Oryzias latipes: one gene and its partner. The protein of the gene in region 2 interacts with the protein of the main gene of each other region in a pairwise test. Links are inferred from orthologs where the notes say so. Each region holds a gene or a part of one and is shown on either strand. Other genes may lie near its edges.

What was found.
Region 1: the proteins of sgtb (region 2) and rai2 interact in binary tests that used the Homo sapiens proteins (3 or more experiments, as listed by UniProt). The link is inferred for Oryzias latipes from reciprocal best matches to the Homo sapiens genes SGTB and RAI2.

The regions. Positions count from the first base shown.
Region 1 is NC_019862.2:28,824,281-28,829,546, reverse strand, and holds the end of rai2 (retinoic acid-induced protein 2), read right to left. Parts: intron 4,147-5,266; 5' UTR 4,072-4,146; coding exon 2,476-4,071; 3' UTR 1,330-2,475; downstream 1-1,329.
Region 2 is NC_019870.2:4,513,919-4,518,368, reverse strand, and holds the end of sgtb (small glutamine-rich tetratricopeptide repeat-containing protein beta), read right to left. Parts: intron 3,743-4,450; coding exon 3,643-3,742; intron 3,561-3,642; coding exon 3,456-3,560; intron 3,373-3,455; coding exon 3,234-3,372; intron 3,161-3,233; coding exon 3,098-3,160; intron 3,019-3,097; coding exon 2,981-3,018; intron 2,905-2,980; coding exon 2,821-2,904; intron 2,232-2,820; coding exon 2,120-2,231; 3' UTR 2,111-2,119; intron 2,033-2,110; 3' UTR 1,395-2,032; downstream 1-1,394. UniProt on the Homo sapiens protein: Co-chaperone that binds directly to HSC70 and HSP70 and regulates their ATPase activity.

The DNA.
Region 1 (5,266 bases), on a different chromosome or scaffold from region 2:
GAATGGGACCGTGAATGCAGGAAAGTCGTATACAAGTATACACCATTTAATATCCAGGGATGTCCAGATACGTCTAGAAAACTGGATCTAGTTCAAACCAGATTCTGTTGGTAAAAAGGTATAAAAATCGGTTTCTCTTTCTGTTGTGTCTCTACCGTCTGTCTTTTTATGTACAGGTGATGCAAACAAAAAGACGTCCAATCATAAGCTCGCTTCTACTAAGCTGGGTCAGTTGCAATGGCCAGAAGGTGAACCACAGTAAATACAGGATAACCCTTTTCTTCCCCACAGTACTGCAAACAATAAAATGACATGTTTTAACCACAAAGAACAAAGATGTCTGAAAAAACCAAAACTTTTAGAACTGAAGCTGTCAGAAAGACATTTTGTTTTTTGTTGATTAAAATAAAAAATTGATGTAAAGAAAAAATATAGTTAAAGGGCACTTTCATATATTGTTTTAAAGACTCACCTCAAAAATTATGATTTTAATATGTTCTTTTAGCAGTTTTCTTATGATGATGGAGATATATACCGTATATATATATATATATATATATATATATATATATGTCTATAAAGTTAAAGCTTAAATTATTTTATTTCTTTAGCTCTCAGTTGTGACGTAGAAAATGCCTTAAGCTCCTTGCTCTGCTCCATTCTGATGCATCCACTTGTAGACAAACCGATCCATGAACGTCTTTTTTTTGTCCCCGTCTGAGCTGGAATCTGGATCCGAACTGTACGGCTGGATAGCTACGATGTTGCTCACTGTTTTTGTTGCACCGCTAATGTTGGGTCGGGTGTGTTAGGGAGGGGCTGTAAGCTAGAGGGAGAGCACAAAAACAGGACTCTCTGCAATGGGGCGGGAAAGTAGTAACGGGGTTGCTCTGCGCCGACGGTCCCGCCCACAACTGGGAGGTGAATTTTTAATGAACTCCTGCTGCTCTGCAGAACCTATGTCCTAAAAAATGATAAAAAAATGTGCATTATCATAATTTAAAGATCACTGGGAACACTTTTAAAGTAGATCAAAAAAGGATTGGAGTGGGACTTTAAATGCCAAGTGAATGATAAATATCTAGATTGTGTCCATTTAGGTAAAAGAATTGGACGGTGTTGCAGAAAAAGTTAATTGAATCGCATTGATTTATGAATAATGTATTGAGATGCATATGATGTCATGAGAGAGGGAAAGATACACAACTCTGCAGAAATCTGTATGGTTTCTGAGTATATCAGTGACTTTTCAGCTATAAAGAGTCAAACTTTTCAAAATAAAAGCAGACAAATCTGGAACACTTTAGTTCTTAAAGAAATGTCTTGTTGCTGTGGGATTGAATCATTTTAATGCAAAGCATGAGTACAAAGATCCGCCTGCTTCACTGAGGGATCTCCCCCCCCATTTAGTTTCATGGCAAAAAACAACACAGAGTTTCCAAAAACGGCGTCAAAAAGAGGCTAACAGGTATAAAAAACACACACACAGCACAGTAAGCAAATATCCAACAGCAGCACACTTCAACAGGTGATTTATCAGCGACATGAAGAAGCCGTCCTCACATTCAGCCAAAACAGAAACATAAATAAAAGCCGTACGGATAATAAATTAGAGGAGCTTCAGTCCAAATCTGAGCGACCTTTTACAGCAGGGATGTTCTGGGATTGCTTAAGAACACACGGGAAGGAGTGGAAAAACTATTTTCCATCTCTGTATGTGGCTGCTGTTAGTTATTGGCCTGCAGCTCTCAGATTTACACGACTGCTGCACTCAGAGGGGCCGAGGCAGGAGCCGACGTGGAAACTCTGGGACAGAGACAAAAGTGCACGCCATGGGATTAAATAACAACAACACTCAGTGCTCAACAGAACAGACACGAAACCACAACCGCCTCCCAGGAGTGGGCGGAGTCTGATCAACACGGACTCTACTAGCTCACTAATCGAAACACAAAACACTCGTTTTTTTTCCACAATAAAGCAAAGAAAGTCTTTAGTTCTTCACCACAGCGGGTCCCTTCATTTTCTGATCATGGCTGACGTCAGGGACGTCTGCCTGGATTCACCTGATGAGACAGGAAGCAGCCAGGACGCCAGCAGCAACTTATATTTGAGGACGCTGCAGCTTCTGTTTTGCTAAGTCATGCTACCAATAAGGAAAGAGCGATTTTCATAGCTTTGAAGTTCTGATTTTCAGTTTCCAGTGCAGTGCATGAAGCTGGAAGGGGATTAGGAGAAGAACCTACGTGTCTGTGCTGATGCTGGACAGTCAAACCTCAGACCAGGAGAACCAGAGAAGCTGCCATGATGGTCCAGAACCGTCACTGATGGTTCAAAACTTTGGCCTGGGTTCAAAAACACTGAGCCAGGAGAAGCTTTGTGTTCTGACTGACAATGGAGACCTGACTGGACGTCCGCGGGTTTAGTGCTGAAGGCTCCATGTGTGCCACATCTCCTGCTGGGAGCAGAAGTGCATCACTTTCTGGGAAGCAGAGCTGCCAGTCTCTGCTTCTTGATGGGAAGGAAGTGGATCTCCTGCGAGCTGACCTTCTTCAGTTTGATAGCTCGACTTTTAGAAACCTTTTTATGAGGGTTGTTTGGGTCCTGCTGCTCCCTGTGGGACCCTGACGGGACCCCGTAGAGCTGCTGCAGCGACGGCCCCTGGCTGCCGTCCCGTTTGATGGAGAAGTTTTTGGTGGAGACTCCGGACAGGCCTTTGATTTTCCCGCAAAGGATGGCGGGGATGGCGTCCTTCACAGAGACGATGACCTTGGCCGTCTGCGAGGCGCTGACGATCTCGAGATTCCCGGCTCCGCTTAGAGAAGCCTCCTGCGCCAAGGAGCTGGACCCGGTGGCACTGGTGTCTACCACCCACTTGTGCTGCCGGCTGAACTCCAGGGAGGCCAGACTCCCCAGGAGTTTAGAGTCTAAACTCTGAGAGCATTCCACACCCAGAGACAGAGCAGCTCCTCTTGGGTCCTGCAACCCCACCTGCCGGTCTGCTTGAAGAGACTTTTTCCTCAGACCTGGCACTGACAGGTCCAGAACGCTCTCCTGTTGTGGACTGGGATACTCCTGTTTTGGTTCAATAGGGCAAGGCCTGACAGAAAGGTCCAGAACCTGGCCCTCTTCCTGAGCTGAGGCGGTGGCGCTCTGTGGCTGGAAGGACGGCGGGCATTTCCTCGAGGGTGGAGGAGGAGAGGTAGCATCTTTGGCGGATGTCTGGGTGCTTTTATTCACAGTGCAAACGGGTTTTGGCACGTTCCCCTTTGTGTCCTCCGTCTGCGGGATGGGAATGGGAACGGGCAGAGGGACGGGTAGAGGCACCGGCAGGGGAATGATGACGGGGTAAGGGACTAAAATTGTGGCTGGTGGGACCAGGGGGGCCAAAGCAGGTGGATAGGGGGGTGTGAGGGGAGGCAGGGAGAAGAAGGAGGAGCCTGGCGACTGACAGGTGGATGGACCCACCTGCGGAGGGAAGAGGTCCTGGATGATGGAGGCGAAAGCCGGGTTCTGCAGCAGGGACAGAAGGTTGGCGTCCTGAGCCTGCCCCGCCGCCTTTGGGTCCACGGCTGCGGGTAGGCCAAAGGTCAAGGGGTTCTGACACAGAAGGCTGTTCTGGCGCGGCAACTGCGTACAGCCGGGGCTCTGAGGGATCACAGAGTGACTTATGTGCTGGATGACCTGCTGGTCCAGAACCAGTGGAAGTGAAACTGGGCTTTGACTTGTGATCAGATAGGGCGCTCCCCCCACCTGGCCGAGCTGAGGGGCGGAGGCTCCAGCCATCTGAAGGTGGATGGGCAGCATCAGTGGGCTGTCTCCCAAACACACGGGGTGGATGACAGTTGTTGCCACTTTGAGCGCCACTCCTCCTGGGGGTTCTGGGTTGGGGCTTCCGGCTGGCGGTGCAGGGTTGTCGGCATTGTTGCTGAGGCCCCCTTTGTTGAGACCCGCCATGCTGTCGTCGAAGGAATCCGCCGCCAGCGGGTTTCCTCCGTTCTCCGCTTTGCCAAGTGGCTCACCGACTTCCTCGGCCTGCGCCGCCGTTGTGTTCAGAGCGTCGTCGTCCATGATTTAAACCATCGAAGAAACGCAGAACCTCAGGTTTCAGAGCGACCGCTGATCCATCACTCCTGCTGTTAGGCCCTGAAACCAAGGAGACGGAGATTCAGGGTGAAAGCAGCTCAAAACTAAGAAGTGGCCCCTGACATCACGGTCAAAGTCAGGATTGGATCAAATATGAATTCATTTTCGCACATTTCTTTTCAAAAGTCTATTTTGTTTGGTTAAAAAACGGAGTTTACATCCATCCATTCATTTTCTAAACCTGCTGAATCCCTGCAGATTCCACACACTCAGTCATTCCTAGGCACAATTTGGAGAGATCAATCAACCTATGAAGCCTTTTTTGGCCTGTGGGAGGACATGAGTACGGGGAGAACATGTAAACTTTATTTGAACTGGGACCTTCTTGCTATGAGGCCAAAACACAAACCACTGCGCCCCATGCAGCCCCGTGTTCACAGATCCAGCAAATAAAATGAAACAGAAGTGTAACTTTCAGGAATACATTCATGAATTCTTAAATAAAAAGCCAAATGAAAAGCTGTTGGCCATAAAAAATAGAAAGAAAATGGGTTTGATGGGTTGATTGTACTGCATCTTGTCAGGAAAAATCTTCATGAAATGATATATAACGCAAAATCAACTTTTTGAGATTTTAAGTGTTTTATAATGTTCATTCCTCAAAAGAAAAACTCCAAAAGTGGTATTTTGATCCTCTAAAATCCTGCTCTCTGAGCACCAGGCCCTCCAAACCGCAATCGCAACATCACAAAGTGAGGAACCGCCCCTTCCAGGAAGAGTCTGTGCTGCCAGCCCCGCCCCCAGGCTAGCACACACACACACTTTCTGTCCACGGTTTGAACTACAACGTTCTCTGTATAAACAAACACAAAGAAACCTGAACATCTTTAACCATTTAAAGACCCAATCCAATAAAAATTGTATTTTTGGTGTTTTTTTCCCTGATGGAAGACATATATTAGGAAAATTAAGCTTAAAATTCTGAGTATGTCTTTATTCAAATCATTGTGAATCAGGAGCAGATGAAAAAAATGCTGTTTGAAAGAGAGCATAATTATTACGTAGAAAATACCCTGCTCCGCTCCATTCAGATGCATCCGCTTGCAGAAAAACATATCCGTCTTTGTTTTCCTCGTCTGAGCTGGAACCTGGATCTAAACTCTGTGACTGGATAGCTACG
Region 2 (4,450 bases):
AGGATGTTTTTCAGTGAATACCTTGAGTAGAAAATGTGAATGCGAGGGCTGCCAAACCTGGCTGTGAAGATCTACCACACTCATCTTTTTAATCCAATTCCCCCTGAACTTCCTGTTACTCCCAACCTGAATCTGGTTTGCTCAGTGAGCAGAAAGTAGTGCAGAGAGAACTAAAAAAACGAGCAGGGGGGTACATCTTAGAGATAAAGGTTGGCAGCCCTGGTACGTGCATTTCTCTTAACTGCTTATATTAGATGCAGCAAGACGAGAGCGGAGTTAAATTTAATAACTTTTGATTTATATTATATTTTAAGGCACAAAGCTGAATTAATGTCACAAACTCCAAATACTGAGTGTTTAAAGGGCCTATATCATGCCTTTCTTAAGCCTTTCAGAGTAAACAATATCTGTATTTATGATAACATATCACTTCTGGCACACTAAAGAACAATTTTTATATTAAATACGAGTTTTTGCAGCTCATTTTACTATTTGGAAGTAAGACGACTTGATCTCTGAGGCTCCGCCTTTCGCTCCGCATGGGTGCCGCCCCTTTCCATGACCTCAACCTAGAGCCGGCCTCGGCAGTGTGTCCGCGTTTCACCCACGAAAACAAAAAGCATCCGAACTTTTGGATGGATGTGCAAATAAAAAGAAAGCGTTTCGCCGATCACCACTAGCTCCATGGGAAAAAAAAGTGGGCGTGTATGTTGGCGTGGGGGCGTAGCTGGCAGCGCAGGTTCTTCCTAGAAGGGGCTGTTCCTCACTATGTGACGTCACACTGTGAGGACCCACTTGTTTCTGTGGATTGGGAGGGGCTGGTGCTCAGAGTACAGAGACCACTCACAAATGCGTGAATGGATTGGGGTTGTTTTTGTGACAAATGAACATTATAATACACTTAAAAGCTGATTTTGAAAAGGTGATTTTGCATGATATAGGACTTTTAAATATGGGATAATAAATTATCAGATATTGACGGACGACGCGGAAGTGCGTCAATTTCTGACGATATCCCTTCTACGCCATGGTCACCTACAAAATAAATCAATGTTCGATCCATTTTTAAAAAAACTTTTTTCTTGTCATTTTTTCGGTTAAACACGCTTTTCACAAAAAGTGGAGTATTTGATGTGTGGTGTGGCGCGTTGCCATGGTAACAGCTGACCGTCACCAGCCTCGACTGCAGCGTCAAAAGGAAAAGCATCGGTTCAGAGAGAAAGTTCACCTTTTGCCGCTTGCTATTGTCCAGATGATGAAGAAAAAGTTTGTTTTAAGGAAGCCAACGCGGTGATATAGAACATTTGGGCTATGTAACACCCGGCAACCAATCAGAATCGAGTATTCACCCGGACGGTGGTATCATTTGAATTAAATGAGCACTTGAGGAAGAGTTCGTTTTGAAAACGTTTATTTGTGCGTCTTCAATCAACCCGATCCAGCCTCGGCACACCTTTATCCATCTGATCCCAAACACCAGATTAAAGAGCATGCAAACAAACCGGATAACTGAATAGATTGGCTCAAAGGGGACAGCAGGTCTTTTCTTGCTAAAGTGCTAAAAACAACAGAACAACAGGCTGCAAATACTGCAATACACGTCGGCAGTCGCCTGGATTCAAAGTGATGCGCAATGTGAAGCAACAAGTCCCACCAGTTCAGGGATGGTTTTGCGTTAAATTACAGTTCTGTCTACAAAAATGACATAAATGTCACAAACCAACCGGAATTGAGCAGAATTTGTGTGAGAAACGCCTCTTGGTCATGAAGAGTGAAGAGGGCGGCAGCTTCGGCACATGTCAAACACGTGAAGGGATCTCGCTGGGTTCTGTCAGTGGGCTGATGAGTTCTAGGCTCTTTCTTCCGTCACCAGGCTCTCCAGCCTTCTCTTGAGAGCCTTCAGTCAAAGTTCCTTCAACCCGTTCCTCGTCTCTTCGTTCCAGCTAAGCCGGGGATTTGACTTAAAGAAATGGGTGTTGAGATTAATTTTGGCGCCGCATGGTTGCTCTTTTAGGAAGAAGGAAAGTTGGGACTGAAAAAACAAAACGTTGGAAGTTTCAGGTTCCTTGTGTTTTGGTTTGGTCGGGGAAGAGTTCGGCTTGAAATGTACCTGCATGGATCATGAGTGCTCCTCAGCGCTGCCGCTAAAGGAGCGGCTCCTGATGTGGTTCCTCAGCTGCTCGATCAGCTCCGGGTTCTGCTGCTGGATCTGCTGGGCAAACTGTTGTCCCCTGAACAAGAGAGCAGAGGATCTGTTGACCTGATGCTTCCTGACAAATGTGGAAAAACGACGACATTAAGATTGTAGACAAATCAGTTTAAAACCCATTGTAATTATAAGAGCATTAACACTAAACTGGAGTGAACAATTCAGCTCAGAGGGGATTATTTTACAGGAAAGTCTCATTGAGCTTAATTTTAAGAGGATTTGGGTTTTTTTTTAAAAACCCAGAGAAAAACGGGTTCGGGAAAACTTGTAACGAGCCCAGATTATTTCCTGAAGCAGTTAAACTATTAAAGTCCCACTCCCATTCCAAGTGGTCTTTTAATTATGATGCGCCTTCATGAACAGTCTGTGGAAATGTCACTAATTGCATAAATGGTTGAGGAGTTTCGGTAGTTCGGAGCGTACGTTATTTAGGTGTCGCTGCCGACAGCTGTGGTGTTACTAAGACAGAGCTTCATAGTAGTTCATTGCCAAACTGTTAAAACAAAGCTGGGGAAAAAAAAATGTTATTCATATTTGAATTTACGTCTTCGACCCTAAAGTGTTGTCCGAACACTGTGTATCTCATTTGGATTCAAGGGCGGGGTACTTACGCCTCAATCAAGCTGGAAATGTCCGACATTCCCCCCACTCCGGCACCAGGACCCCCGACCGCGTTGGACATCATTCCTGACATGCTGAGCACACATCGGCAGTGATTCAGCGTTTGCTGAACTCCATCTAAGACCAACATTTACTGAGAAAGGAACTCACAGTTGTTGCACCTGTTGGTTCTGCATCACGCTCGCCGCCTGCGGACAACAACAACAAACGCAGCTCCAGCTCGTGGCGTCTCTCGGAAATGTTTAAAAACCGCACAAAAGCTCCTACCATGCTGATGAAGGCCGGGTTGTTGATCAAACTGGCCATGTCGAACCCCAGTCCAGCCGCTATCTGCGGCACACATTTACAGACATGTGATGCTCAAAGTTGAGGGTGGAAGACAAAATAATGGGTTGGAACTCACCGGGCTGGACGCTTCCCTCTGTTTCTGCTCCGCTATCTTCAGGTTGGACTTGTAGGTGTCGTTATCAGGGTCCAACACTAAGGCTTTCTTAAAGTAGGAGATTGCTTCAGGATACTTGTTCATAGCTGTCAAAGCCAAACTGCAGAAAAGAAAACCCAAAAATCCTTCAGACCAAGAAGCTATTTTTCGCCACTCATTCCGGTTAGCAGGAGAGACGCTCACCCCATCCTGCCGTACGCTTTGCTGTAGGTGGGGTCGATGCCGATGGCTCTTTCACAGTCGCTTGTGGCTTCAGTGTAGTTCCCCAGTTTGCTGTGAGCTGCAGCCCTGCAAGGACGTTTTATCCCATCAAAATATGACAACCTGCAGCCCGATACTGCACAAGTGCAGGAATCAGACTCCAAAGTACCTGTTGCAGTAATACACGGCGTTTCTCAGGTCCAGATCAATGGCCTGTGTGTAGCAGTCCAACGCACACCTGTAGTTTTCCTCCTTCATGTGATTGTTCCCTGATAGTTAAAACAAAATTTAGATCTTATCGCGATGAACAAAGAAAAAGCAGAAACTTGGAGCTTGTTGAGCTCAGGATTACATGAAATTATGCTTTTATTAGAAAAAAAGGCATATTCATGAAAAAAAAACACAACACAACAACAAAAGTAAAAAGGAGAATCTAAAATCCTCTTCAAGTTTCTTTTAAATGCCTAAAACAACCAGTTTCTGATAAAAGAGTGTTTTATTCTACTTGACTGAGGCTTTTCATGTTTCATAATAGTTCATAATAGGAACTACATTTGAATTCACAATGCAAAAAGTAACATTTTTGAGTGCAAATAAAATGGAGAATTCTGACTTTTCTCATAAAAGTAAGAGAAATACTTTTTATAAACATGATGTTATTAGTTCAATTATTTAACAAAGGGCACAATTGTGCCTTTTTTCTCTGAACATTTTGTAAAAGTCAGACCTTTTAGCATAAATGTGAAGAAAAACGTTATACTGATTAAAATAAAAAAGGACAAAAAAACTATTTAAATAATTCTTTATAAAATCCTGAGTCTGTATTTTATTTCTGAGAGTTTAATATATCTACGGAAATCCTTTTAATTGATCGTATAAATCCTGCTTTATTTTATTGTAAAATATGACTTTAGAGGGGGGAAAAAAATAAAAAAGGGGGGAAAAAAAGAATTTAAAACTGTTTTGAGTATAAATAA